3 linked regions of the Pelodiscus sinensis genome follow. The protein of the gene in region 1 interacts with the protein of each later gene in a pairwise test. Links are inferred from orthologs where the notes say so. Each region holds a gene or a part of one and is shown in the gene's direction. Other genes may lie near its edges.

Region 1 (9,605 bases):
AATGATTAAAGGTCTAGAGAACATGACCTATGAAGCCAGGCTTCATGAACTGGGCTTGTTTAGTTTGGAAAAAAGAAGATTAAGGGGGGACATGATAGCGGTTTTCAAGTATCTAAAAGGGTGTCACAAGGAGGAAGGAGAAAATTTGTTCCTCTTGGTTTCTGAGGACAGGACAAGGAGTAATGGGCTTAAAGTGCAGCAGGGGAGGTTTAGATTGGACATTAGGAAAAAATTCCTAACTGTCAGGGTGGTCAAATATTGGAATAAATTGCCAAGGGAGGTGGTGGAATCTCCCTCTCTGGAGATATTTAAGAACAGGTTAGATAGACATCTGTCAGGGATGGTGTAGACGGAGCTTGGTCCTGCCTTGAGGGCGGGGGGCTGGACTCGATGACCTCTTGAGGTCCCTTCCAGTCCTATGATTCTATGATTCTATTATTGATGCAATCCCCTTTCTGCTGTAAACTTACTACTTTCATACCAGTCCCAGGTGTTACTCCCCAGCTGGGCTCCATCTCCAATCAGTCCTCCAGTTGCTGGCTCTTTCCCAGGGACAGCCCATCACAGTGTCTTGCCAACTCAAGGAAATGCATGGTCCCTGCCCCAGAGAGGTTACAATCTAATGTCCACACACTGTAAATTGATCAGTATAGGCCAGTGGTCTCCAACCTTTTTAAGCACAAGATCACTTTTTGAATTTAAGTCAGTCCAGGATCTACCTCAAACCCAAATACCCCTGCTCCACCCCTTTGCTGAGGACCTGCGCTCCTCACTCTATGAATATGGGGTACAGGGGAGGGGGACAGAGTGACATCAATGCCCCCTGCCTCTCTTGCCCCCACCCTGCATAACAAGCAGGAAGCTCCCGGGGCAACTCTGAGGCTCTGGGCAGTAGCAGCTGGGCAGTGGTAGGAGGGACAGCTGAAGTGCCAGCGCTTGATAGTCTCCCAGCCAAACCAGTCAGGATCACCTGTCAGAGGCTCTAAGATCTACTGGTAGATCCCGATCTACTGGTTGGTGACCACTGGTATAGGCTGACCCCTGCCAGGCAGAACAAGTCACAGGACTAAGGCCTTAGAGCTCAACTCTGCAAATACTTAGGCTGATGACTAATGTGCCTCCTTGGCAGAGAAAGATGCTAACTAGAGATGTGAGACAAGTGAGGTCAGTAGACAAATGTCATGGAAAGGGGAGGTGGGAAAGAGGTTACAGTAATAAAATCAGATGTTTACTCATCTAGGCTGCTCCTAAAACTGGATCTGCAAAAGCAAAATCCCATTGACTTCAATGAGATACACATAGATGCAGGGGTCCACCAGCATAAAAGCTATTGGGGATGTAAGGGATGCACACATCTTGATGTCTCTATCAAATTCGTAATTAAAATATGTAAATTGTATTTATTTGCCACAAGACTGAAAGATGCTAGAGAGTATTTCGTATAATATAATAGTGGTACAACAAGTAAGCTAGTTAAAGAGTTCTCCAGATTGATCCAATTTTCATCTCTTACTTTCTTTTCTCTTACATATGCTCCCTAGACACCTAGGTGGAGTGCCTTAAAAGTGCCTAGATAAATAGAAAAGCCACAACATAGGATCAAAACAGATACGCAGTGAAGTTGGATATCATCTAAATTTAGAAAAAAACAACAAATGGTCCGGTAGCATTTTATAGACTAACGAAACATGTAGACGGTATCATGAGCTTTCGTGGGCACAGCCCACTTCATCAGATGACCGGAGTTATACTTAGTCAACTGTCATGTCTTGCTTTATTAGCTTGCTTTATTAGTGCAGCAATTTACTGTACAGTTTCATTCTTTTCCAGTCCATGTGAACAGAGTTCTGTATTAAAATACTTAGCAAGGACTCTATTTGTAAAAAAAAAACCCACATTTTTTAAATTCTTTTAAAAGAACTGTTCAGGTTCTTAAGAATTTTTGGATCAATATGCCCTCTTAGCTGATTTTTAAACGGGTATTTGATTTTTTAAGGTAACAGTTTATTATATACAATAAAATTTGTTAATAACATGGGGGAGCAGTCTCTGACTGGGGCAATTTTTTTAACAGCACCATAAAAATCTCTCCTCTGCTTTTCAGAGCAAATGGGTTTTGAGCCTGCACTTTCCATGCTAAGCAGGAAAGTGATCATAACTGGGATTTGCATTCATTTTCACAGCTGTTTGATTTTCTTTACATAATTGAACCAAGAGTATATTGTTTTGAAAAGTGGGGAGTAATGGATACAAATAAGAAAATGGGTGTTTAAAATTAAATGAGTTTGTTTATTTATAACACTATTATTCCTGTGACTAAATCAGATCAGTTCTGAGCCTTTTAATTTCCCTTCAGGTTTTTGTAAAATTATAGTTGTCCAACAGCAGAATGGGGTAAACTCAATAATATGAAAGATGCTCCTCTGCCATTTGTACTGATTTTGGGGCCCTATGTGGGCAACAATTTGAAAACACACTCCACACACCTTTCCTTCCCAGCTTCCTTTGAAACATTCATTGGAAAGGGGGAAGGAGACAGTCAGAATGAGATGGTATCTGCCACAAGGGCAAAATATTCAGCCCCTAAACCTGCAGATGGTTTGAGATCTGAGTGTCCCAGAGTAACTGTCATTACCACATGTATCTCACTGTCTGGTCAATTCCCATGGTCACAAACATACATCAGATTATTCTTTCACCAAAGTGCATATTTAGGCTTTTCTTATAATTTCTTGTTGTAATGCAGTCACCCATTACCAAGATAGTTCCCCAATTATCACCTCTAATACCATTAACTCACAAACATCCCACTCTCCCTACCTCTAATATCATCAATTCACAGACACTTACCTTCCTTCCTCCCCCCCCCACCCCGCATCCCCCTCCTGTTCTGCAATGTGATTTGTCCTTTTCATATTTGTTCATTTTTTTTAATTGTATCCTTTGGTATATATGGTTGTGACTACTTTCTTCCACTATTTGATCTGAGGAAGTGGGTCTGGCCCACGAAAGCTCATCATCTAATAAACCATCTTGTTAGTCTTTAAAGTGCTACATTGTCCTGCATTTTGCTTCAGTAAATAAGCACTTCTCTTTTACCTCCAAAACATCCCCTTGCTGCCTGTTTCTATTTATATCTTCCCAACTACCTCATTAGCCTCCCTGCCCAGCGTTTTTTGCTCTATATGCCTGGTTGGGCACCTATCATGGACCTGCCTCTCCTGGTACCACATCTTTGCAAGGTAACACATGGGGAAAGGGTGGGTTATGTAGGTTTACCCCCCATCCCACCTCAGTTTTCTGACAGGGTTCACATCAGAACATGACCCGCAGCATCCTTTTGGCACTATGCAGGAAAGGAAGGGATGGAAGCTGCTTTCAGCTACAGGGGAGGAGGAGGTGGGGAAGGGATGACCTGGCTCATGTCTTTACAGCACTCATCTCTTACTCCTCCAGCCAAGACCACCTCCCAAAAACCTCCTGTGGCTGAAAGCAGCTCCCCTCTCTTCCTGATGATACAGTGTGAAAAGGCAGCTAACCCCTCCAGCATGGATGGTGGATGAACTCCTGGCTTGGGGAGACAGCCCTCAGCTCCACCTCTTCCACCCAAAGCCCTGCCCCTTCCATACCCAATGGCCCCAACCCCTCCTCCCATTGTGGCTGCTGGCCTTGGAGCCCAGGGTTGCCAGGCAGCACAGCCCCAGACCCCCAGCTCCAGAGTGCTGGAGAGCCAGGTGAGCAGCACAACCTCAGACTCCCTGGGCTGCAATGCAGTGCCTGGTTGCTCCCCCTGCCCATGAAGTCCCTCCCCACCCAAGCCGTCAGCCCCAGCACTGCGCAGGCAGTGGACCCAAGGGCACATGCACCACAGTCCCAATCTGCCTGCCCTCACCTCAGGGAACAGGCAGGAGAGCCTAAAGGTAGAGCATGACCTGATGATGCCACAGACAACCCAGTCACCTCTTGTTCCCTGGCTACAGTGAGGGCAAGAAGGAGTTAAGCCTGAAGGCTCTATTGTCTACTTCAGGGATCAGGGAACTGGATTGCAGGGGCTTCAGCGTACCCAAGTGACTCGGAAAGGGGGAGCTAGTGGACAGAGCACCCCGGGCTCCCTTGGGACAGGATGGAATGTGGGGGGAGAGGGGCAGGTGAAAGGAGGGTGCTAAGCACCTGCCTGAGGGGCTGCTGTGGAGCCTGCCTATTTGAGGAGCAAGCAGGATGGAAATCGCTTTCCCACTACGACTCTAGAGCTTAGCTGAGAGGTGGACAGGATCCTCCAGATCCTCCATGTCAGGGCTGTGTGTGGATTTGGCACATGTAGGGCTTGACTTCTCCTGCCCAGTGCCCAGGGGGGAGGGTTCTGGGCTTTTGGGGGGCACCGGCTCCCAGCCAGAGGCAGTGAGAGGGAGGAAGAAGCCTCCAGCCAGGCTCTTGGTGAGCTGAGCCCTCTGACCAAGGGCTGGTTCTGTGCACAGTGGGAGCGGGACGTGCCCTGCCAGGGGAGATACAGACGAGTAGTGGGATGGGAGAGACAGGTGAAGGGGCAAAGCAGTGAGACTACAGCAATGTTCCCGACTTGCTGCCTACACCGTTCTGCTTACAGCCCCAGCACCGTGTGTGATTCCAGGAGAATCTCCGCTTTCATTTAAATGGTTGCAGAGAAAAGCGGAGCCCGTAACTGGAGCGTACCCCGCTAGCAGGGAAACCCGAAAGCAACGGCGCCTGCCCCACGCCAGACCCCCATGATTGCTGGGGCTGGCAACCCTGGAGATAGGGCCTGACAATGCAGCTTCCATAGAGCTCACAGCCCCCACTCCCTAGCCTGCCCCTGCTCAGAGCCCACGAGCCGCCCTGGCCTCTCCTTGTCCTTGGCCCCTCCCCTTTCCCAGCCTTTGCCCCGGCGATCTTCTAAACCCTCCCTTTCCCAGCAGCCACTGCTCCTCGATCCGTGGACTCGACGCTCGGCAGTGGCGCCTCGGTCAAGCCCCGCCCCTCCCTGCTGTCCCGGATGAGCCTGCCCATCTCCTCCCATCGCTAGCTCGGCGCTCGGCCTGGGCTCTAGCCCTTAGCGCAGCTGGGCCGGGCCCGCGGCCCGGAGCCGCCGCCTCGCCTCGCCTGGGAGCCGAGGTGAGACCCGCCCCGGGGTGGGCTCGGAATCCGGCCCGCGGGCCTGCGCTCCGCTCCTCGGTTGGGGCGCGCCCCTGGGTCCGCAGGGCGGGGGGATTCCTCTCCTCTCGCGCGGGACAGGGCGGGGCCCTTGTGGGGAGTAAAGGCGGCCCGGCCCTGGAGCGCGGGACCCTCCCCCTTCTGGCAGGGGCAGCCCCCCCCCGTCGCAGTGGGGTCGGGGGCGCCGCGGTCCTGATGTTGTTGCCAGAGCTCGGCGGGGCGGGGCGGGGCCGAGCCCGCTCCCCGGGGCGGGGCGGGGCTCGCAGGCGGCCACACGTTGCTGGCAGAGCTCCCCGGGCGCGTTTCGTAACGGTCGGGGTGTCCCGTGGGCACTTGGACCCTCCCCCATCCAGTTGGGCGTGGCTGGACTGCAGCGCGTCCCCCTCGGTGCTCCCGCCACAGCGCCCCTCTCAGAGCGTCACCTCCGTGGGGCGGGTGGAGGCACCTGTCGCAGGATTTCCATGCTGAATAGTCTCCCAAGTGCTTCCTAGGAAGCCACTTCGGTGGGTGAAACGTCCCGAACACCTCTTGCAAGTTCCCACGCTCCCCCGAGGTTGACATTAGTCTCTAGGACAGTGTTTCTCAACTCTTTTGCTTTTTATGAAGTGCCCCCTTTAAAAAAAAATTATAAGTACCCCCAGTACCTACCGTTTCAGAGGCAACATTTTTTTCTACCCTTGCAATACATTTGTTTCAACAACTTAAATGTAGCCGGGCAGGCGATGAAATTTTTGGGTGTAAGAAGTACACAAATAATAAAGTGGTGTAAAATTTAAAACAAAATTCAGTTTTCTCCAAATTTCAGTTGTGTTGCCGTACCCTGCAGACTTCTCAGACTTCTCTCGAGTACCCCTAAGGCAGGCATGTCCAAAGTCCGGCCCGCGGGCCAATTGCGGCCCGTGTTCCGGTTTAATACGGCCCCACAGGTAATTTGGCAATATCTATCTTTTAAGGCCCCCAACGAATCCATATGTATTGAGATGAATACATTGTAAAATCTCAGTTAATGTCAGTTGGTCTAAATCAGTTATAAATATATTTGGACACAACATGTATACTTGGTGTTATGTTCCTGTTCATATTTTTTGAACTTAAAAGTTGACAGACAACCTTTATTACCAATAATATGTAATGTACTTTACAATGTTCCTGACATATATTTCAGCTTCCTGGATTTTTTTTTCATTTGGACTTCAGATATGAAAGGCAGAGTGATTTAACACCTGTTTAGATTTGTGATCCATGTGATGAAATGAAAAGTATGCCGTTTGCAATAAACTTTGCATAAAATAGTTAATTTGCATTTAATTTTAATGGTTCAAAGAATGTCAGGCAAAATGGTCGGCCCTCACGCATGTTCACTTCATGAAATCTGGCCCTCTTTGAAAAAAGTTTGGACTCCCCTGCCCTAAGGGAACTCATACCAGTGGTTCAGAAACACTGCTATAAAAAATGAACATACAATCCTACAGTAACGCACCCAATAGTTGTATTTTTAGTACAGTGGAGCCCAAAGATCAGTATGGTTTAACTTCATTCATGAAGGTTTATCCTGGACATTCGAGGAAATTGCCCTCTAAAGTATTTACCTGGAATGACCCAAGTATTTTGAGTCAGACTGACCATTTTTATTTACATTTTATTTTCTTTAGCTTTCTTTGTCATTTGTCATATAAGTTTTCTTCCCTAGCAAAGGATCTTATGAGAAACTTGTGTTTTACACCCTCTAAGAGAAGTTAAGGGGCTGGGGTATAAAAGGAAGGGTCCACTGAATACTTGAGGGTCTCATGCAATATGTGATATGAGGTGAAGTATGATTTAGTCTAGAGGTCCCAGACTAAATCATGAGTATGTATGTGTACCTCTGCGGGTATACGGAAGTCTTCTAGGCTAGGGCATACATCAACTCATTTAGATATTTACATAGTTTAACAAGGTACATAAAAAACATTAGCAAAGTCTGTACAAACTAAAATTTTATACAGTGACTTGTTTACATGGTTCTATAAGCTATATGCCAAAATGTAAGTACAATATTTATAGTTCAGTTGATTTATTTTATAATTATATGGTAAAAATGAGAAAGTAAGCAATTTTTCAGTAATACAGGTTGAACTGCTCTAGTCCGGCTCATTCTGGTCCAGCAACATCCATGGTCCAGCAAGATTTTATTTAGCCAGATGTCCATTTACTATGGGTGTGGCCAAGTTTCCTGCAGTCCCATGAAGTGTGTTAAAGCCCTCATTCTTGGCTCTAGTGTTCTGTGCTGTTGTTTAATTTATCCCTGAATGTCTTCCAAGAGCCCAGTAAACAGTGGAAGTATTGGTAATACTGTTAGACAGTATTGACCTCCTGTGGTTCAGAAAAACCTCTGGTTTGGCACTGGTCAGATCCCCAGGGTACCAGACTAGAGAGGTTCAACCTGTAGTGTGTTGTGGCACTTTTGTATTTTTGTGTCTGGTTTTGTGTCTGGTTTTGTAAGTCCAGAGATTTTAAGTGAGGTGAAACTTGGGGGTAAGGTTCAGAGTCTTGAATGGGTTATAGTAGTCTGAAAAGGTGAGAGCCACTGCTTTAGTTTCTTCAGTTGTCTGTGGAGCAGTGTTCTAGGAAGTAACTGGATCATTAAAAGATCAGATAGCTACTGAGTTAAACTGTTCATCCTGTTTAAAACTGCACTGTGCATCTTTTTCAGATTGCTGTTTTGCACAAGCTGCAAGGAAGAATGCCACTTGCTCTTTGTTAATTCATCAGACATAATGCTACAGAACAGCATATTGCTGTTCCACTGCTGCTAAGTTTTGGAGGACAACAGTATACCACAAGTGCACAAAGCATCATGGCATCAGGCTACCCTCCTCCATTTGATGACTCTGTGGAAGTGAGAGAGGGTTTTCTCTGTCCCCTGTGCCTGAAGGATCTGCAGTCTTTCTATCAGCTTCAGTCTCATTATGAAGAAGAACACTCAAGTGAGGACAGAGATGTCAAAGGACAGCTCAGAAGTAAGAATCATGACAACAGTTTTAACTTCTGCTGTGTAAAATTATGTACAGTGAAATACAGCCGCTCTCTGAGTTACGAACCAACACTTGGTCCGTAACTTGAACTGTTCGTAACTCAGATCCCATAGAGTTACATGGTGACCATGCTGTTTGTAAGCGCAGATCGCCGTTCGTAACTCGGATCAGCATTTATAACCGCTTTGGTCGTAAGTGCGGATGGTCATAAGTGGAGGTGGCCGTAAGTCGGGGAGCGGCTGTATGTTTGTTGCACTACAGATTCCTAAGAGCATCTCAGCTATAAGTCTCACTTCACTAAAATATTGATTAAAATGAGTTAGAAGTGGGGTTGGTTAATGTGTAAATGGATTTAGGCCAAAGAATTTTTGTACAGTTTCCAACAGAAAGTTTCAATAATGTTTTCTAACTTGGTTTCCTAATTTTAGGCAACTAAATAAGCGGCTTGATTTTCAGATACCTACTTTTAAGCGCCCAAGTTAGAAAATGCAGGTGCTTCACTTTTGTGAGAGTTCTCAGTACATGAAGGATTTATATTATTAGAATTAATAACAGTTATGCTTGCAGTTTCCGTGGACACGATCTCAAAAAATAAATTATGGATTTGTCATTGGAATTGAAGGTGGATAACTTGCACATAATTAAAAGTGGGGTGTGAAATTGACAAGAGCCTTGGCTATATTTATAGTGGATTTAATAATGCTGTTTAGGTAATCTATTTTTGTGATAATAAAAGATTCTTCTTAGCTTTTTGTTCATATACACTTCAGTTGTATGTGTTGAGTAAAATGTTCAGAAACAGTCTTGAGTGTTTTCCTGGACAGTTGCTTGTTTTTCCTTAATCTTGAATTTTTATAATTTTTAACTGTAATTGACAGTGCCCCTTAAAAGGATACTTTGTTTGAATATATGGCTTTTAATCTCAATATTTTTATTTAAAACATTGCTTGTGTTACTCTTAGACCATGTTAGATTATTAAATTAGATTTATCAGACTGAATTTTACTTTTCACCACTTTAGCTGCTCATTTGCTTTTAGCCATTCACTCACTTTTGACAATGAAAGTAGACTTGTGTTCTGCTATCTCAGTAGTGTCCCTTCAATTTAAAATATCTCTGACATTTTCAAATTTTTCTTTAATTTGTATTTTTAAGGATGTTATTTTTATCTGTCTGCTTTGTCATAGTCAATGCTGCCACTTTAAAACATTGCATGGAGCCTGAGATCAGTTCCCAGTTGATCCTGGGTTCCATGCGGTGCTGCTGCTTTGAAATGCTGTGTGCAGCTTGATTCTGGGCTCCCCGGAGCATTTCAAAGTGGCAGCGCCACTTGGAGCCTGGGGTCTGGCTCCAGGTTCCAAGTGACACTGCCGCTTTGTTGAAGTACCCCCTACTATTCTTCCTCCTTGCTGCCTCTTTCTGACA
Region 2 (10,107 bases), on another chromosome or scaffold:
CCCGCTAGACTACGGAAAACAGTTATGTTTTCATACTGATGCCAACAGTTGTTTTCCTTACCAGGGGAAACATCCAGCCTAAGGGAATGGGCTTTCCAACCATTAATCATTATGGCTCTTGTGGAAATAGGTATTGTTATTCTGATCATTATGCTCCTCATTTGTATTCACTGGTTTGATTTATCAGGTGAGCCACAATTTGAGAAAACGGTGGGATGTGAGCAAGTTTCACCATGCAATCCCAGGTGTAATGCCAACAAGAAATGGAAACTTAAATGCTGCCCCTCTCAAATTATGAAAATAACTCGTGAAGTTTGGGCTAAAGGGAATGTTTATGAAGGCAGCCATGTTGGATGGGTTGTGAGAGCAAAGGGTCTCCATGATGGAGAAGCTTCTTCTCTCTACCTGTAAGGGAAGGTGGGAAGACAGTGTAAAAAGAAAAGAAAAAAGAAAAAAGAAAAAAAAAAGGGGGGGCTGGCTGTTGTTTAGCAACCAGAGATTACAAACACAGTGTGGCGCAATAGGTAGGAGCTGGCATGCTCTCCTTGCACGCTCTTGGGAGTGGAGGAGGGACCAGGGTCATTAACTCGCTCTCCAATGTTGAGTCATACTCCAGTCAATTGGCCTACCTGACTATTTCTTTGACCACAATGGGAAGATATCAGGGAACCCTCAAGCTTGCTGTTTTGAGGAAAACATGCGTTCATTCACAAATCCTCCAAGTAGTTAGGACTAACTCACCTGCAGGATGACGCAAAGCGGAGAGGGTTGGGTATCAGTTAGGGCACGATACTTTCCTAATAACCCTGGTCAGTGCCTCCTCCTCGTGCGCCAATTCTGTCTCTGCAGCTTGAACCCTGACTTCCTGCCGACACCTGGAGAAAAGTAGGGGAAGCATCTTTCTTCGTCCTCTTTTATTTGTAAAAATGTCTGGTTTGTGTGCTGTAACAGCTGCTCTCCCAGGGTGTATCTAGACTACAGGGTTTTTTCGAAAAAACTGTACCTTCGTCTAGACTACTGCTGCGTTCTGTTGACAGTAAATCAAAGGAACGCGGTGGTTTTGTCAATGGCGGTAAACCTCATTCTACGAGGAATAACGCCTTTTTTCAAAAGTCATCTTTCGAAAAAAGGCACTATTGCATGAAAACAGGGCTTTTTCGAAAGAGAGCATCAAGACTCTCTTTTGAAAAAGCGAGCTGCTTTTTCAAAAAATCGTCTTGTTGTCTAGATGCTCTTTTTCAAAAGAGGCTTTTTCGAAAGATACTGTTTTGAAATAGGCATGTAGTCTAGATGTAACCCCACAGAGTTAATCCTCCCTGTCTCTTCCCTTCCTCCCCTCACTTAGGTCCCTTCCAGTCCTATGATTCTATGAAACCATGATGGACCTGACTGACCTTGGTTTAGCTTGTGAAAAGCAAGACAACCACAAAACCAGACTATGGAGCAAAAGAATCCAGCCACTCAAAAACAGCTGGATAGATATTAGAATGGCTTTGCAGATGTACAGTTCATGAATAGTAGAGACAACCAGTAGAAGAAATTGCACCTTTTTAACCAGAACTATGTTGATTTCTTCAGACTTATCTCATTTAAAAAAATAGAGAAAAAATGCACAAACATTTTTGAAATTGGAAAATTGTGAAAAAAATCAACATGCTGTTTCAAACATTTTCAGTTGAGATGCAAATGCTTTAAAGGTTTTTGTTTTACTTTTACTTCTACACTATCTCAAGTAACTAAGGAAGAAACTGAGGCAAGAAATTTGACCTGCAAAAAATACAATAACAAGGTAATTTTCTGCCACAATGAATATATGTGCAGAACAGGTAATCACCATCGGGATTGTGAACTATCCAACTTCCATGATCCATTTGGAGATCAGCTGGAAGAACTACTTGTTTAAGTAAGTCAGATCATAAAAAGAAATCAACCAGAGATGACAAAATATTTAACCAATGGGGGAAAAACATATTTATTCTAAAATATTTAGTATCTTGGGGTATGTCTACACTACAGCGCTAATTCGAACTAACTTAGTTCGAATTAGTTAATTCGAACTAAGCTAATTCGAACTAACGCATCCAGACTAAAAAACTAGTTCGAATTAGCGTTTTGCTAATTCAAACTAGCATGTCCACATTAAGTGGACCCTGAACCGGGGTTAAGGATGGCCGGAAGAAGTGCCGACAGGGCATCAGATGAGAACTTAGAGCGTGGAGCTGCTGCCTCAGGCTAGCCAAGGGCTGTACTTAAAGGGACCCGACCCCCACCCCCCGGACAGACAGTTCTCAGGGGTGCCCTGCTTGCAAAGCAGTCCTGTCTTGGAGTGCCCTGAGTGCCCACACTGGGCACATCACAGCACTCGGCCATCAGACCGGCTGCACTTGCCGCAGGCTGCCATCTGGGGAGAGCGGGCAATTGGGGGGCTGCAGGAGAGCTTCCACCCCCAGAAGCCCACAAAGCCAGCCCAGTCCTCCCCATCGGGGGCTCATACCCCATTTCTCCCTCACCTCCTTCCACTTACCCTTCCCTAGCCCCCCTTCCTGATGTACAAAATAAAGAAAATGTGTGTTCAAAAATAGAATCTCTCCTTATTGAACAAAACTGGGGGAGACTGGGAAAAGGAGGTGGGAGAGGGGAAGAGAGAGGGTGGGAGAGGGGAGGACAACTAAAATGATCAGAGGTTTGGAACAGGTCCCATATGAAGAGAGGCTAAAGAGACTGGGACTTTTCAGTTTAAAAAAGAGGAGACTGAGGGGGGATAGGATAGAGGTCTATAAAAGCATGAGTAGGGTGGAGAGGGTGCATCAAGAAAAGTTCTTCATTAGTTCCCATAATAGAAGGACTAGAGGACACCAAAGGAAAGGAATGGGTAGCAGGCTTCAAACTAGTAACAGAAAGTTGTTCTTCACAAAGCAAAGAGTCAACCTGTGGAACTCCTTGCTGCAGGAGGCTGTGAAGGCTACAACTAGAACAGAGTTAAAAGAGAAGTGAGATAAAGTGATGGAGGTTGGGTCCATGGAGTGGTATTAGCCAGGGGGTAGGAGTGGTGTCCCTGCCCAAAGTTTGTGGAAGGCTGGAGAGGGATGGCACGAGACAAATGGTTTGGTCACTGTCTTCGGTCCATCCCCTCCAGGGTCCCTAGGGTTGGCCGCTGTCGGCAGACAGGCTACTGGGCTAGATGGACCTTTGGTCTGACCCAGTACGGCCATTGTAAGCTCAGGGCTCAGGGTCGGGGGTCTCAGTGGACCACCTTGATTTTCATGCACACCTGCTCCTGGACGGCAAGGCTGGCAGCTCTCCTGCCCTAGACGGCCACTTTCCTGTGCCTAGTGCGGAGGTCGTGGACGAGGTCCATGATGTCCGCACTAGACCAGGCGGGTGCCCGCCTCTTGCGGTTCTGGGCAAGCTCCCGGGAGCCGCCAGCCTGGTCCCGGGAAGAGGGGGAGGACTGGGGGGCATCGGGTGGCTGGCTCGAGCCGTGCCTGGTGCAGGGTCTGCCAGCTGGGTGCTGGCAGGCTTGCACCTGGCACGGGCATCGTAGCCAGCCCATGCCCCTTTAAGGGGTCCAGGGCCGGGAGGGGGGCAATAGAGTTTCCCTGGTGTTGGCCAGAGTGGCCACCAGGGAAAGCTGGAGAGGGCTAGCCTCCCACTAGTTCAAATTAAGGGGCTACACACCCCTTAATTCGAACTAGTAAATTCAAACTAGGCTTAGTCCTCGTAGAATAAGGTTTACCTAGTTCGAACTAAGCGCTCCGCTAGTTCGAATTAAGTTCGAACTAGCGGAGCACTAGTGTAGCTCCTATCAAAGTTAATTCGAACTAACGTCTGTTAGTTCGAATTAACTTTGTAGTGTAGACATACCCTTAGAGATAATGGAACCATCAAATGTAGCTCTTTTATATTCTTCATGAAAGAATGCTACAACAGAAATAAGTGAATACAAATATAAGGGTGATCTTGGCCTATTGGCTTCAGTGGGACAGAATTTCACTCCAATCTTACAAAATGATCCCACTTTCACAAGAAGTTATCTCTATGAAATCTCTTGTAGTTTCTGTGATTACAATAAACACTAGCACTGGTGGTCATACACTATCATTGCCATTCTAAGGTGACTCTTCACTGGAGACTACTAGAAAAGGAAAACCACATTTAAGAGCCTGAAAACCCTATTATCCCTTACTTGTTCATTCTTATTCAAATGCAAAGACTGTGTTTTGTATCAAATGGCCAACACAGAGGACCACTTTCATCCCAGTCAGTCTTCAGCAGATATAAATTGACTGACTGCCTTTCATGCAGAGTTGGAATTGTTTATGCAAAACAAATTTGGTTGCAAGATTCTTGAATGCAGCTTGAGTTTGGTCGGGGTATTTTCACTATCAAGTGTGTGTTATATGGACCACCCAGCACCAGGTAGAAGGTGCCAGAGCTTCTGACTTGCTGGGAGCTGTTCAAAAATGCCTCCTGACAGCGTTCTTAGTGAAGGATTTAAGGCTTGCCTTCAATACCATGCTACATCTGCCAACATAGCACATTTAGAGAAATGCTCTGTTAATGAAAGAGCGCTCTCCCTTTCCACCAACTTCATACCACACAACAGATATACTAACTCAAGAACCAAACCCTGCAACAAAACCTGTTGCCAACTCCGTCCACACCATCATAGGACCTAACAACAACAGCTATACCAACAGGGGCTCATTCACCTGCATATCTACTAATGTGATATATGCCACCATGTGCCCACAATGCCCCTCTGCCACGTGCCTTGGCCAAACCGGACTGCCCGTATGCAAAAGCATAAATGCACACAAATCAGACATCAAAAACAACTACATTCAAAAACCCATAGGAGAGCACTTTAACCTTTCTCAACACTCAGTAATAGACTTGAAAGTTGCCATACTTGACCAAAATAACTTCAAAAACAGACTGCAGCATGAAAATTCAGAGCTGGAATTCATATGCAAACTTGACATTATTAGGCTGGGGCTAAAAAGAGAATGGTCAGGTGAGCTGACAGCCTCTGTGGGCCTCTGGGCAAGGTGAGAGGTGGGCCAGCTCTGCACTTCTGGAAGAGACGGGGCCTCAAGTGGAAGGGGCGGCGGTAGACGCAGTCAGCCCTGTATGTTTCCTGGAGCATGGAGTACCTCCTCGCAGAGCCATATGAAGAATGCTGCACAGTGTTCCGGCAGTGATTTAAAGAGCCCAGGTCTTCAGCTGCTGCCACAACTACCCTCTTTGTCCCCATCAGCAGGCCTGATTATGGGAGTGGTTAGTTCACTGCAAAAAGTAATTTTCCCTCTTTTGATATTCACACCTTCTCATCAACTGTTGGGAATGGGCTGCATCCACCCTCGCCAAACTGACCTCGTTAGCTGGTCCTCCGCATAGTAATGCTACACTCCCATCTTTGCATGTGTATATATATCCCTGCCACACATCTGATGGTGTGGGCTCCAGCCCATGAAAGCTTATGCCCAAATAAATTTGCTAGACTTTAAGGCACCCCTGAGTCCTCATTGTATTTTGCTGAAACAGACGAATACAGCTATCCCTCTGAAACGTGTCATCTTCCCTCAGTTATCATGACTTCCTAATTCTCACAGAAACAAATGGAGATGACTGGTAATTTGCTTGTCTTTTCTACTTAGATTATGAATGATTCAGGGCAGCGACAGTTGTTAGAGGGTGTGACAGGCTGTCACTGACCCGGGGGCGGGACGGCCGGAGCCCCCGCCGGCAGGGGGCTGGCAGCCAGGTACGGATCCCCCAGTACTTCCCCAACGCGAACCGGAGGGGGCGGTGGACTGGGGCACTACCCCCGCGCCTGTGCCGGCGACGTGAGCACGGCCCGTCCCCCGAGGCCCCGCACGGCGAGGGCGGGGCGGAGGGACACGGCTACCAGGCAGGGCCACACGCCGGGACGTGCCCGGAAGGGGCGGAGCCCTGGGTGGCGGCCGGCGCGGCGGGCCGATTTAAAAGGGCCCGCCGCCAACGGGGCAGGGGGCAAGCTCCTCGCAGCGGCGGAGGGGCGGCCCCTGCCACAGGACGGAGCCCAAGCGCCACGCCGCCCGGCTGTCGGCCCGGCGTTGGTCCCGAGGCCTCCGGGACAGCCACTGCCCCTGGCAATCGGTCAGCCCCTCTTCAGACGGCGGACGGACCCCGCCGTGCCGGACCAGGAGGGAACGGGACAGCCAGGGCCGAACCGGGACCAGAGAACCCGCCCCAGAGACCTCGCTCGGACACCGGACGCCACGGACCGCCGAACCAGGGTAGGTTCAGGGGCACCGGGCGTGATCCGCAGGAGGCACCCGGAGGGAGGAAGGAGCCCGGGGCAGGGCGCTTTTGGCGACCGTGGGTGGACGAGCTTAGGAGGGAGTGAATCCTCCCTTCCCCCATTCACCGCGCCGGGGCACTAGCAAGCCCCGGCGCCCAGGGCCCCGGGCTGGGACCCGGAAAAGGGGCGGGACCGGGTCCCCTTCCCTCCCCTGTAGGAACAACCCACTCCCAACGACCCTAGCAAGGAGAACTACGATGCGGACCCCGCAGAGAGGGGAAACCCCGACCAGGGGCCGGCGCCCCACTCCGCCTGGACGGGTAACTATCATAAGGTTCGCTGACCCCCCCTTTCCCCTGGGAGGGGGTGATCGCACCCAGGACAGGGGCCCCCTAGCAGGGACCCGGGACCCAACAAGGGATCAAGAAGGGGTCAGAGGGTTCGCAGACCCCCCCTCTCCCGCGGAGAGGGGGTGATCGCACCCCCGAACTCCTACAGAGGGCTTATCCCTTCACCCTTCTACTTCCCTGGTCCTTTTAATGTCAACAGAGAACAGCAATACCCAAGACTGGAGATGCAAAAACTTCCATGTTTACTGGGGTTAGCTTTCAGCAAGCATGATTTCAGTTTTCTTTCTTTTTCCCCTTGTTTTTCTCCTCTCTCATTTCCTGTTTGTTCCTAATATATTTAGCAATAATTTCAGGTCTACCTTAACCAATCATTCTACTGAAATTTAACTAACAAATCTTAACATATTGAAATGTGATTATCTAACCAATTATATCCCACCACCTTAGTTGGTTTACACCCAGCAAAATTAATTATTCAGGAGACACAAACAATCAAAGAACCAGTCAGAACCATACAAATAAACAATAGAGAAATGGGAAACATAATAATAAAGCAATACAAATTGCAAATTTTGCAACCCCAAATATTAATAAGTCCTCGCCAAATAGAAAGCTATCAACCCACTGGCTAAAAATGTGCCAAAACTGGTTTCCCAGCTTATGGATGCCTCGGTTTCTTAACCTAAACCAGTTTGAAAATAAGGTCTTAGGCCATCATATACAAATACTGTGATTTTAATTATTTGGTTTTATACCTCTGTAGGAAAACACCTAAATTCTTACAGTATAGGCCGTAAAAGGCAGGCCTGAATATCTATATCCTAACAATAGTCTCTTATGTTTGGATGATTTTAGCAAAGCCAATACAGAAAAAATAATTAACAATAATTCAGACTCTGTAGACATGCCCAGTGTTTGAAGAGGCAATGGAAAATCAGCTCTCTGACTTCTAGAGCAGTGGCTTTCAACCTTTATTTCAACCAAATAAAAGATTTGCAGACCCCCTAAACAATTTTAAATGTTGGTGCAGCCCCTACTGGAAATATTAGCTGTAGTCTGCAGATGCCCATGGGTTCATGGGCCACAGGCTGAAAACTATTGTCCTACTGCAGTGGTCTCCAATCTTTTTAAGCACAAGATCACGTTTTGAATTTTAAATGCAATATAAGATCTACCTCAAACCCAAATACCTTGCCTCACCTACTTCATGTCCCTTCTCTGAGGCCCTGTCCCTGCTCACTCCATCCTCCCTCCCTTCCCCATCTTCCCTCCCTTTCACCAGGCAGAGGCAGCAGGTTGCGGCACAAACTCTGGTCTTGGGCTAAGGGATCTGGAGTGTGAGGGGGCTCTGCGCTGAGTCTGGGGCAGGGAGTTGGGGTGCTGAAGGGAGTTTAGGGTGTAGTCTTTGGGAGGGAGTTTAGGTTCATGACTAGGGCAGGGGTTCAGAGCTGGCTCCAGCTGGACGCTGCTTACCTCAGGTGGCTCCTGGGTGGTGGTGCAGTGGGGCTAAGGCAGGCTTACCGCTGCCCAGCCCTTGCATCACTCCCAAAGGCAGCCAGTAAACTCCCTCCATCCTAAGCTCTGTTGTGCTCCCTAGCTCTGTTCTGTGGAGATAGGATACAGGATGGGAGAAGGGGCACCCTGACAACAGCACTCCTCCTGTCCCTTCCCTGCTCTGTGCCACAAGCAGGAGTCTTGGGGCGGAGGGAGCTTCAAGGCAAAGGGCAGGAGGTGCACAGCAGTGGGGAGAAGGGCAGCTGAAGTGCTAATCTTGATAATAGCCTCTTGGCCAAACTAGTGAAGATCACCTGTCAGAAGCTCCACGATCTACCAGTAGATCCCGATCTACTGGTTGGTGACCACTGTCCTATTGGATAGTACACTGCATAATCACTGGAGCAACAGCAGAACCTCTTCACATTTCTGACCTTTATTCCCAGTTATTCTCACTGAAATAGGAGGTCGCTGTGTATCTGCAGTGTCCGCCATGGAGCAACTTCGGATTTAAACTGGCTTCCGTGAAAGGAGAATCAGGCCACCAAAAATCTGTTGGATTTGTCTTTTCTAATCAAATTTCCATGCTACAGTTGGTGGAAATACAAATGTGACTTTGTGAAGACTGTGCAAAATTAAATCTCTCTTCTATCAAGGTGCACATTTTCTTTCCCTGTCTGAAACAATGTACAACCAAAGAAAAAACTAGATCTTTTGGAACAAATTATTTCTGTTTTCAATACACCAACCTGCAAAGAGTATTCAAGTTCCGGGGGGGGGGGGAAGCGGGGGGAGGAAAAAGCAGAGCTGAACATACATAATATGTTGTGGTGCTTAATACCTTATGCAATATAGCAGGCTTCAACCAGCATGGGACAGATTCTGCCATTATAGTTACTGTTCATTAAAATTAAATGGAATTGTTGACAATAATTATTTGTTACGGAAGTGTGTTGTAAAAGAGAACGTGGCAAATCATATATATAGTAGCCCAGTGTCTGCCCTCTGGGCAGCCCATGATGCATGGGAAGTGCGGGGCCCAAACGGCCACTTGCTCCCCCACGGTGGCCTGGCTGAGCGGCACAGAAGTCAGCCGAGTGCCACGGCGGGAGGCGAAGGGGGGCGGTACGGTGACATGTGGCGTGACAGTGGCTCCAGGCCCCGCCCCCTGGCTCTGAACATCACCACCCCGCCCCCCTTCGCCTCTTACCATGGCGCTCAGCTGACTTCTGTGCTGCTCAGCCAGGCTGCCGCATGGGAGCAAGTGGCGCAAGCAACCATTTGGGCTCCACGTTCCTCATGCAGCACAGGGAGTGTGGAGCCCAAACGGCCGTTTGGGCTCCACAGACCCCCGAGTAAGAGGCAGGAGGGGGAGAAGAAGAGAAAGAGAGAGACAGAGAGAGAAGCAGGAGGCAGAGGAGAGCTGAGAGAGTGAGAGAGAGAGAGAGAGAGAGAGAGTGGGAGGCAGTAGGAGGAGAGAGAGAGACTGGAGGCTCAGGAGAGAAGACCGATGTGGAGGAGAGACCTGAAAATCCCGTCTTATGATGGGCTAATTGGCAAGTATAAAAAGGATAGGATGTAAGCTCACATAAGCTCTCAGCCTGCATACAGATGTCATGGTAATGGCAACATAGGTTTGCCTAAAGAAGAAACAAACACAAATTGTTTGCCAAAATTCAAACTGAATCTTTTCAGTAAAAGTCTGAAAAGTTTGAAAGTTTTCCTTTGCCTGTCATCTTTGCTAGATCTGCACTTTCGAGTCCACCCCTCTTGCCACTAAAGTCAATGGGAACTCTATCACTAATATAAATGAAACCAGGAGCAGCTTGTGCCCAATTCCAGACAGGGCCAAAACTGGAGATGTTGAACCTCGAAGGTTGCTAGGTATCCAGTATTCAACCGGACAGTCCATTTTTTGCCCCCTCTGTCCAGTAAAAAAAATCCAGAAAATACCAGACATGTGCAATGTCCGGTATT
Region 3 (9,789 bases), about 14 Mb from region 1:
GCTTCTTGTGACTGAGTTTGTAGGTGATTGTCTAATGGACTCGGGTCGAATGAATTTTGAGGATGATAAATTTGTGTTGGCTTCCTTTTGTCAGTTTGCTGCATTTATTTAGTACAGCAAAAGAAAAATCCCAACAATCCATTGTTTTGTAGCAAAAATTAAATTGAAATAAACATTTGTAAATCTACTTTATATGGAGTCTGCAGAAACGTTGTATTTCCCTAACAGAATTAATCAACTGTTTTGTTCATTTATTCTATACAAAAAAGAATTTTCCTTATTCGTGGTGTAAAAAGAATGTCATAGCCTCTCCTGTTTTCCTGTGAGAACAAAAAGCTTTTGTGTTTATGGAGTCAATGTCCTTTTTATGAAAATAATATTTTTTTATGATATGAGGCCTCTCACATGTGACATAGCTTAGGGCCTCCGAGTGTCAGAATCTGGCCCTGCTCCTGAGGTGGGGCCAGCTGAGATTTATTCAGAGTTGGTGCCCTTGGTGCCTTTTTCAGTGATAAGGTTAAGATTTTATCATGGTTATCTCTCTCTCTCTCTCTCTCTAAAAAAAATTCCTGCGGGATGACAGAGTGATGTCATCATGCCACTCTGCGTCCCGCTGCCCGCCCTCCGCACTCAACCGCACAGCCTCCCCGCTGGCCCTGCCCCAGGAGCCCTGACCACATGACCGCTCCATGAAATGGTGGGGGCGGCGGCTCCATCCCTTTGCACCCCCTGGAGCAGCATCCACCTCCCTCTGAGGCCTGCCCCCAGCCTGCCTAGCCCATGCGCCTGCAGTGCAGCTTTGCTCTGTGTAGCCTGGGCCTAGCCACAGCGCTTGGGGGCTGTGCCACCGGTCTTCCCCTGAGCGAGTGGCTCCCGCATGTGCCGGTGACCTGGGGCCAGGCCCCTGGCTCATGCGCGCTGTCCTGGGCCTGCCATGAGCTGGGCTGGTCTTGACAACACCGCACACATGGCCCTTTGGGGATGGCTTGGTTACACTGCACCCGGCTGCTTCCCTGGTTCTCCGGAGCGGCCACTCTGCACTCCAGGCTCCCTGGGCTCGCCATGGAGCAAAGCTGCCCCAACAGACCCTTTCAGAAAGGCTGAGCTGGGGATGGGCTGTGGCTCTGCTGCGGTGGCCAGGGCTGTGCTGCCCAGCCTGATGGTGCTCCTGAGGGAGAGGGGCACGCAGCTCAGTGAATTTGTGGGAGAGTGCAGGGTGTGTGTAGGAAGGGAGGAAGGGGAATAGGGTATATGTGGGGATGGGTGGTGGGGTAAGAGGGGATGGATGGGGTGAGGGGGATATAGGAATGGAGGCAGGGAGATGGGCAGTGTGGAGGTGGGGAGGGGTTAGGGAAGGATGGGTGGGTATAGGAATGGAGGTGGGGGTAGGGATGGAAGGAGGGGTTGGGCAGTGGGCCAGGGAACCCTGAGATAAGGACTGGTGACCCAGATTACCCCACCAGGCTCTCTTCCCCTGTGTCCTGGTTCTCAGTAGATTGCAGGCATGTAACGATGGGGGCTTCCCCATGGTTCCATGTCTCTTCATTGTGCCCTTCCTGCTGGCACGTGCGCTCCTGCTGCGGGGCTGGTACATGCTCCATGCAGAAAGGGCGCAATGGAGAGACATGGAACCATGGGGGAGCCATGGAGCACTACACATCTGGAGCGCTGCCGTCCTGCAAAGACGGGCAGTAACAGGATGCGGAAAATGGGTAATTCCCTCTCTATCTGGCTGCTTGCATGTAACCCAGCCCCTGCCCATCGCTAGTGAGCCAGGTGTCCAGGAGCACCTGGAACGAAAGGGATTTGTTTGGAGTTGGGCCCCATTTTACTAATTGCGTTTGGTTTTCATTTACATGTGAGGCCCACGAGCCCACAGAGCACAACACTTCCTGACAGGTCACTTTTGCATAGACCCATGCTAGCCGCCAGGAGAGGCTCCGAATTCTGCATGCGAATATTTTATTGGTGGGTGGGGCAGGAATAGGAAGGTTGTGGAGGGTGGGGCGGGGAATGGCTGGCAATTGAAGGGCACGAGCCAGTGGGATGTCTGAGAGCATTCAGATATAGGGGCCTGTCAAGGGGTGTGGTGGAGTGGGAGCAGAGACAGGTGTGAGTGACTTGGGGCCATGGAGAGTGCAGCTGGGCTCAGTGCAAGATTGACAGGCTCTCTGGCTGTGAAAGCAGCCCATGAGAGGGCGGTTGGTGAGCGCAGTGAGCAAGGGATGCAGCCCCGTAGTTTTTAGTAAGTCAGGGAAAGGTCCCAGGCAATAGACAAAAATTCATGGAAGCCTATGGCCTACCCCTTACTTTACTAAGAATGCTCTTGACAGAATGGGACTGGTGGGGGTTTGAAACCCCACAATCTATTGTGGGAGGGTTCAGCACCTACTGCCACTGCAGATGATTGCTCTGGTGTGTCCCCAGTGCCCCTGGCAGCTCAGAGCTCTGGGTCCCACCTCATCCACGGTGGCTGCTTTTTTGACAGTACTGATTGTAGTCTAGACGCTCGTTTTTGAAAGAGGCTTGCAGTCTAGACGTAGCCACAGTGTCAAGATTGTTAGATACTGCAGTCACATGGCTATGCAAGCACATGAGAATGGCCATATGGGGTCAGACCGATGGCCCATCTAGTCCAATATCCTTTTGGATAGTGCCAGTACCAGATGCTTCAGAGAGAATGAACAGGACAATTGCAGAGTGATCCATCCCATGTCATCCAGTCCCAGCTTCTGGCAGTCAGAGACATTTTATAGAGCTATATCATATTTTCCCTTAGTCATCTCTTTTCCAAGCTGAAAATTCCCACTCATTAATCTCTCCTTATCCTGAAGCTGCTCCATCCCTTATTCCCCTATTCATTTTTGTTGCCCTTCTGTGTACCTTTTCCAATTCTAATATATCTTTTTAGGGATGGGACAATCAGAACGGTATTCCAGGTGTGGCCATACCATGCATTTATTTAGTGACGTTATGATATTCTCTGCTTTATATAGTTCCTCACATTCTTTTTGCTTTTTTGACTGCTATGCATTGAACAGATCTTTTCAGAGAACTGTCCATAGTGACTCCGAGTTCTATTTCCTAGTGGTAACAGCTCATTTCCATCCCGTCATTGTGTATGTATAGTTGGGATTATGTTCTCCAATGTGAAGTTAATCTGCCAACGTGTTGCCCAGTTTTGTTGCCTCACTGTTTACCCCATTTCCAGAGCACTATGAATAGCACAGGTCCTAATACAGATCCTTAGGCGACATAACTGTTTACTGCTCTCCATTTTGAAAAGTGACCATTTCCTAACCTTTGTTTCCTATCTTAGGGTATGTCTACACTACCCCGCTAGTTCGAACTAGCGGGGTAATGTATGCATACCGAACTTGCTAATGAAGCCCGGGATTTGAATTTCCCGGGCTTCATTAGCATAAAGCCGGCGCCGCCATTTTTAAAAGCCGGCTAGTGCGAACCCCGTGCCGCGCGGCTACACGCGGCACGGGCTAGATAGTTCGAACTACGTAGCCATTCCGAACTATCTGTACTCCTCGTTCCACGTGGAACGAGGAGTACAGATAGTTCGGAATGGCTACGTAGTTCGAACTATCTAGCCCGTGCCGCGTGTAGCCGCGCGGCACGGGGTTCGCACTAGCCGGCTTTTAAAAATGGCGGCGCCGGCTTTATGCTAATGAAGCCCGGGAAATTCAAATCCCGGGCTTCATTAGCAAGTTCGGTATGCATACATTACCCCGCTAGTTCGAACTAGCGGGGTAGTGTAGACATACCCATAAACTAGTTATTGATCCATGAAAGGCCTCCTCTTTTACTCCATGACAGCTTACTTTGCTTAAAAGCCTTTGGTGAGGGACCTTGTTAAAAGTTTTCGGAAAGTCTGAATACACTATCTGCATTGTCCACCTTGCCTTGTCCACATGTTGATCTCTCAAAGCTTGCTAATAGATTGGCGCAGCACGACTACCCTAAACAAAAGCCATGTGGACTGTTCCCCAACAAACAAATCATGTTCATCTGTGTGTCTGATAATTCTGTTCTTTACTATGGTTCAACTAGTTTGCCTGGTACTGACATTAGGCTTACTGTAATTGCCAGTATTGCCTCTGGAGCTTGTTAAAATTCTTTTTAAAAATTGGTGGCACATTAGCTACTCTCAGTTTCCCATGTAAGTGATAGGCTACTACGGTTTCAAATTTGAACTGTTGGGTAAATACCATCTGGTCCTGGTTTCATTACTGTTTAATTTGTCAATTTGTTCCAACTCCTCCCCTACTGACACATCAATCTGGAACCATTTCTCAGATTTGCCATCTAAAAAGAAAGGCTCAGGTGTGGAAATCTCCCTTGAATCCTCTGCAATGAAGATTGATGCAAAGAATTCATTTAGTTCTTCCACAATAGCCTTATCTTCCTTCAGTGCTCCTTTGGCACAATGATCATCCAGTGGCCCCACTGAATGTTTGGCAGGCATCCTGCTTGTGATGTCAGTTTTCCAGTCGTTTGCTAGTTCATCTTCAAATTCTTTGTTGGCCTACGTAATTATACTTATATTTGACTTGCCAGAATGTATGCTTCTTTCTATATTCCTCAGTAGGCCTTAACTTCCAATTTTTAAGGATGCCTTGTTGTTTAGCCACAGTGGCATTTTTTGGTCCTCGTACTATGCTTTTAAATCTGGATTATACATTCAATTTCAGCCTCCATTATGGTGTTTTTAAAAAGTTTCCATGAAGCTTGCAGGCATTTCACTTTTGTGACTATACCTTTTAATTTCCATTAATTAGCTTCCTCATTTTTGTGCGAGTGCCATTTATGAAGTTAAATGCTTGTGTGGAGTAACTATGTAAGCGGTCCTCAAAAGATGAACTAAAGGTTTGGTCCACACATGTTGACTGACGATTCCCAGCAACTTAATGGGACTCTCTTCAGTGGCTTCAGTGGGCACTTGATCACACTCTACTTGACCTGCTGCCCCTTTGGAATAAGGAGTTGGCCAACATGTGGGTCTTGCCAGGCTGTTTCTGAGAGGAGGAGTATGTGAAGGGGGTTAAGGAGTAAGTTAAGGAGTATTCTCTGGTGAAATCTTGTTTATTTGCAAAGAATGTCCATATAGTCCTGTGTCCCTGATCACAGCAGGAACAAACAACCAGCCGTGTTCCTTCTCTCAGTTTCCAGGCCTGCCTCTCCAGCCAGCCCTAGGAGCTCTGTCTCTCTGATGCTCCTGCTGTGTGCTGGCTGCCTTTCTCTCCTGATCACAGGCTCAGCTTGCTAAGCAACCTCCCAGCCCCTGCATTTGCAGTCAGTCTCAGGGAAACCTCACACCCAACATGGGTCAACCAATCTCAAGTTTTGCCATACAGCTGATTGCCTTGGGTGGTTTCTGTTGTCTCCAGCTCTCCTGCTCCATAAAAGGACTTGATTGCTCTTTCCATTTTTCCTGAAAGAAAGGTAGTTCACATGGCCAGTGGCTTTAACCAGGCTGCCATTGATACCTGCCATCATGAGCAGAATTGCCCCGGGAGAAGGAGCTGAAAGGAGCTGGGTGATGGGGCATAGCAGCAAGCCTTTACGTAACAGTGATTCATTCCAGAACTTTGCTGACTTCATCTGTGATGCTAGAACCCATTGACAAAGCAGGGTTCTAGCTGAGCTGTTAAATGATGCAGAGGGAGGTGAAAGGAGTGGCCAAAGGGGCTGAAATGGAGGAGGGCAGCTCCGGTGAGGGTCAGGCCATCTCACTGTGTGTGTGTATATATATTTAAGGGAGCTATAGACAGAGGCAGTGATAAAGAGGAAAATGGATGGATGGAAATCCAGCATGGATTCTCCAGGAGGAAACATGGTAGTGTCTGGGGGGAGGGCGCGAATCACTCCCAGGCAGGGAAACTCCTCAAAAGCTAGAATAGGAACCTAAGAGTCTCTAATCTTTCTCTCCACTCATCGTCTCTTCCCTGTTTCTTAGAAACACCACAAGATCAGTACAGTATTATTCCCTTCCCACCAAACTGTATCAAACCAATAGGCCCATGTAGTCTGATATCCCTCTTTCTTGTCACCTAAGTTCACCCCACTGGGGTAAGCTTACCCAGTATTCCACCATCACTTTTCCCAGCAGCCCGAGATCAGACCCATGGATCAAATAGCCAGATAGCTTAGCTGGTCAAGAAGATGATGATGTCAGGGGATTTGATGGGAGGATGTCAGGTGGTTTAGGGGATGATTTGGGGCAGCAGCATCCAGCAGAATCAGAGGGTGACTGAGAGGAATAGCGTCAAAAGGTCTGGGATTGGGAAGGATGGTTTCTGGAGGATTTGGGGGTATGTTGGGTGGATTTGAATGACAGGGGCTGGGAGGCCAATGTTGGGGGAATGGTATTGAGGGTGCTTGTGGAGAGGGCTTACAGAGATAGAGTCAGGAGGCTGATGGGTCGTTTCAGTGGACACTGTTAAGAGTTGGGATTTGATTTCAGTGGCAGGATTGGGGAGTTGATTTTGGTGATTAGTGTTGGGAGGTTAATTTCAGTGGGTTGTGTCACAGGATTAGAGATTGATTTTGGTGGGCTGTGTTCCAGAGTTGGGGGTTGATTTTGGTGGGCATTGGAGTAGGCAAGTTGATTTCAGTGGACAGTGTCAGTTGATTTGGGTTTGGGGTTGGCTCTTTTGTGCAACATCATAGACTTTGGGAGTTGATTTTGGTGGTCAGTGTCAGGTGTTTGCATAGGTGGTGGTGAGTAGACTGGCAGTTAGGGGAGGCTAGACTCCTCCCTATCCGCCAGCTCCCCCCCACTTCTGTCCCCTGCTGGAGGCAAGAGTCCTCCGCTGCTGCTGGCTTTCCTCTCCCCAGGTCAGCATCCCCTCCTCATCCAAGAGCATGTAGCAAGCAAGGAGCACAGAACATGTGGCAGGCAAGGAGCGTGGAGTCTGCAGCACCCCCAACCATTCCCAGAGCACGGAGTGGGCTCTGCAGAGCTCCAGACTCCAGTCCCACAGCATGGGGCAGGCCCCACAGCCACAGAGCCCCTAACCTCAGGGCCAGAGTGCGGGATGGGGTGGGTGCTGTAGTTGTAGAGCCCCTGACTCTGGAGAACGAGGTGCCACTGCAGCACCTCCACTGCTGTGCCAAGAAGGGCACCAGCCCAAGACTGGCCAAATCCGTGCAGCAGGTTGTTTGACCCCCACACCATCCCACCTGATCTGCTAGAAGAGCAAGAAGGCTGGGAGTGAAGCATGGGCAGGGCACACCAGGCTGTTTGGGAAGGCTCAGCCTCCCCCTGCCTACAATACTTGCTGCCCCAAGTTTGATTTTGGTGGGCAGTGCTGGGGGGTTGATTTAGAGGGGCAGCATCGGCATGTGAGGTTGGCACATTGATTTTGGTATAGGGTTGCCAGTTTTGACTGGACACATTCCTGAAGGTTTTCATACACAACATAATTAATTTTTGATTCCAGGACAATCCTGGGAGGCTGGCAACCCTCATTTCTGTAAGCAGTGTTGGGCTGGGAATTAGGGTTTTTTGGTGTCCGGTATTGAACTGGACAGCCCGGTATTTGTGCCTTCTGTCTAGTAAAATTCCTGGTCCCGTTTTTTTTCCCCCTCAATAACCTTTCACGTGGCTTTTTTTTTTTTAACAGAATTTTTTCCCTGCAGTTTTTTTGGAAAGGAGGGTGGGGTTCGGTATTTTTTGTGAAACCATCTGGCAAGCCTACTGGGAATTGATTTGATGGGCAGTGTTGGGGTTGGTGGATAGTGTGAGGAGTTTTTGATTCAGTGACAATGGTATTGGGGAGTCAGGGTAGTGGTGAGGCACAGTGGGTGGAGACATCGACCCCTGTTGTCAATGTGGCTTTGATCGGACCCCCGCGGGCTCTGAACACGACAGGATCCGGCTATTTCGCTAATGGTTGAGTCTCCTTTGCCTCATTAACTGTCATGGTGGCTAGTGAGGAGCGGGCAGGAGATGTATTGTGAGCTACTTCCGCCTCCATAACTATCATGGCGGCTAGGTGAGGCTCAGGACGGAGACGAAAGAATTTAGAGCTACTTCCGCCTCCGTAGCGGGAAGGATAGGTGGGCCGCCGCGGTCGCAGTGGCGGGCACCAATCAGCTTTGTGGGGGCGTGGCCGAGGGACGACCTATTCATATAAAAACAGGCTCTAGGGCGAAGGGGGGGGCGTTGCATTCCGTGGCAAGCGGCTGAGAGGTGGGTGTTGCCGGCCCGCTCAGCTACCCCTCGCTGTAGCGCCCCCGTCCCCACTTGTAACGCACCCCCTCCCCGCAGCCATGTTCAGCTGGGTGAGCAAGGACGCGCGGCGGCGCAAGGAGCCGGAGCTGTTCCGCACGGTCTCGGAGGGGCTGAAGCAGCTCTACGCCACCAAGCTGCTGCCCCTGGAGGAGCACTACCGCTTCCACGACTTCCACTCCCCGGCGCTGGAGCCGGCCGACTGGGAGAACAAGCCCATGGTGCTGCTGGTGGGGCAGTACAGCACGGGCAAGACCACCTTCATCCGGCACCTCATCGAGCAGGACTTCCCGGGCATGCGCATCGGGCCCGAGCCCACCACCGACTCCTTCATCGCCGTCATGGGGGGCGAGACCGAGGGCATCGTCCCGGGCAACGCCCTGGTGGTCGACCCGCGCCGGCCCTTCCGCAAGCTCAACGCCTTCGGCAACGCTTTTCTCAACAGGTGAGCGGCGCGTGGGCCGAGCGGCGCCCTCTGTGGCTGGGGCCGTGCCTGGTGTCCCGCGGTTCCTCGCCCTGTGGCTGTGGGAGGGGCTCAGCCTTCCTCACGGGGGGGGGGGGGGGGGAGTGGTGCGAGGCTGGATTTGCCTTTGCCACGCATGGCCCCCTTATCTTCTCGCCCTCCCCAGGTGAGGGGCTGGGGGCGAGGAGTCTTGCGGTGCCCCTCCTACCTGCAGCCGCTGCCTCAGTGCGTTCTTCAATAGGGGAGTCTGGGTTTGTGGGGGGCATCGCGTGGCACCCCAGTTTAGTGCCGTCAAGCGGTGGGACCCTAATGTGGATGCCCTAAGAGCGGGCCTGGGTGCAAGGGAGCCTGCTAATTCTTCTGGCAGCCCCCAGACTCTTGTCAACTTTCTTCATGTGGGTCCCTGTACTAACTTCGAGGTAGTGCCCCCTCTCTGGAGGCATGACTTTGGACGTCCAGTAGCTAAAAGACATGATCACTGGGGTTCTACTCTTAGATAGGATTGAGGAACTGCCATTGTGCATTTAATGCTGGGCTGTACCTAACAAACCATCCTGGTGCCTCCAGCTATGTGTTGGGTTTGAGACAGGCCATAAGCAACTGTCACAGGAACTGACCCTCCACAAATATTAACTGACTCTGTATTTGCCCAAGCTGTAATGGGGGAAAAATAAAGTAACATTAAGCAAGTTAACTTAAACTTCTAAAACTCCATTCCTTGATACCAAAGAGGCTAGTAACTCTAAAAGGGTGCATAATTCATTTAAAAATCTTAATAGGGCAGCTTCCCTCTACAACTGGGAGCCCAGTTATCTGGCCCTGTACTTGATAGCTGGAAGGGGGTTCAGGAACTCTTGGAAACAGAAGAAGATGGCTCTATTACATGGCAGGAGAGTGCCCTACATCCCTGGTTCCTGGCTGGTGCACAGCCTCTGGTTTTTATGAGAAGGCACTGTAATGTAAAATCCCATTCTCTAATCAGTTAAAGATAGCTCCAGCATCCTGGTCAAAAGCAGCTCCTGACCATGGGTGCCTCAAGTAGGGATTGTTCCCATGTCGCTGATGGAGCAGCTGCTGCCTA

What was found.
Region 2: the proteins of RBSN (region 1) and EHD3 interact in binary tests that used the Homo sapiens proteins (3 or more experiments, as listed by UniProt). The link is inferred for Pelodiscus sinensis from reciprocal best matches to the Homo sapiens genes RBSN and EHD3.
Region 3: the proteins of RBSN (region 1) and EHD1 interact in binary tests that used the Homo sapiens proteins (3 or more experiments, as listed by UniProt). The link is inferred for Pelodiscus sinensis from reciprocal best matches to the Homo sapiens genes RBSN and EHD1.

The regions. Positions count from the first base shown.
Region 1 is NC_134721.1:20,571,243-20,580,847, forward strand, and holds the start of RBSN (rabenosyn-5), read left to right. Parts: upstream 1-4,966; 5' UTR 4,967-5,127; intron 5,128-5,881; exon of another isoform or gene 5,882-6,092; intron 6,093-7,858; 5' UTR 7,859-8,002; coding exon 8,003-8,165; intron 8,166-9,605. UniProt on the Homo sapiens protein: Rab4/Rab5 effector protein acting in early endocytic membrane fusion and membrane trafficking of recycling endosomes. Required for endosome fusion either homotypically or with clathrin coated vesicles.
Region 2 is NC_134713.1:158,568,600-158,578,706, reverse strand, and holds the start of EHD3 (EH domain-containing protein 3), read left to right. Parts: upstream 1-6,027; 5' UTR 6,028-6,281; intron 6,282-10,107. UniProt on the Homo sapiens protein: ATP- and membrane-binding protein that controls membrane reorganization/tubulation upon ATP hydrolysis. In vitro causes tubulation of endocytic membranes. Binding to phosphatidic acid induces its membrane tubulation activity.
Region 3 is NC_134721.1:35,024,788-35,034,576, forward strand, and holds the start of EHD1 (EH domain-containing protein 1), read left to right. Parts: upstream 1-5,653; 5' UTR 5,654-5,663; coding exon 5,664-5,724; coding exon of another isoform or gene 5,725-5,748; intron 5,749-8,284; coding exon 8,285-8,690; intron 8,691-9,789. UniProt on the Homo sapiens protein: ATP- and membrane-binding protein that controls membrane reorganization/tubulation upon ATP hydrolysis. In vitro causes vesiculation of endocytic membranes. Acts in early endocytic membrane fusion and membrane trafficking of recycling endosomes.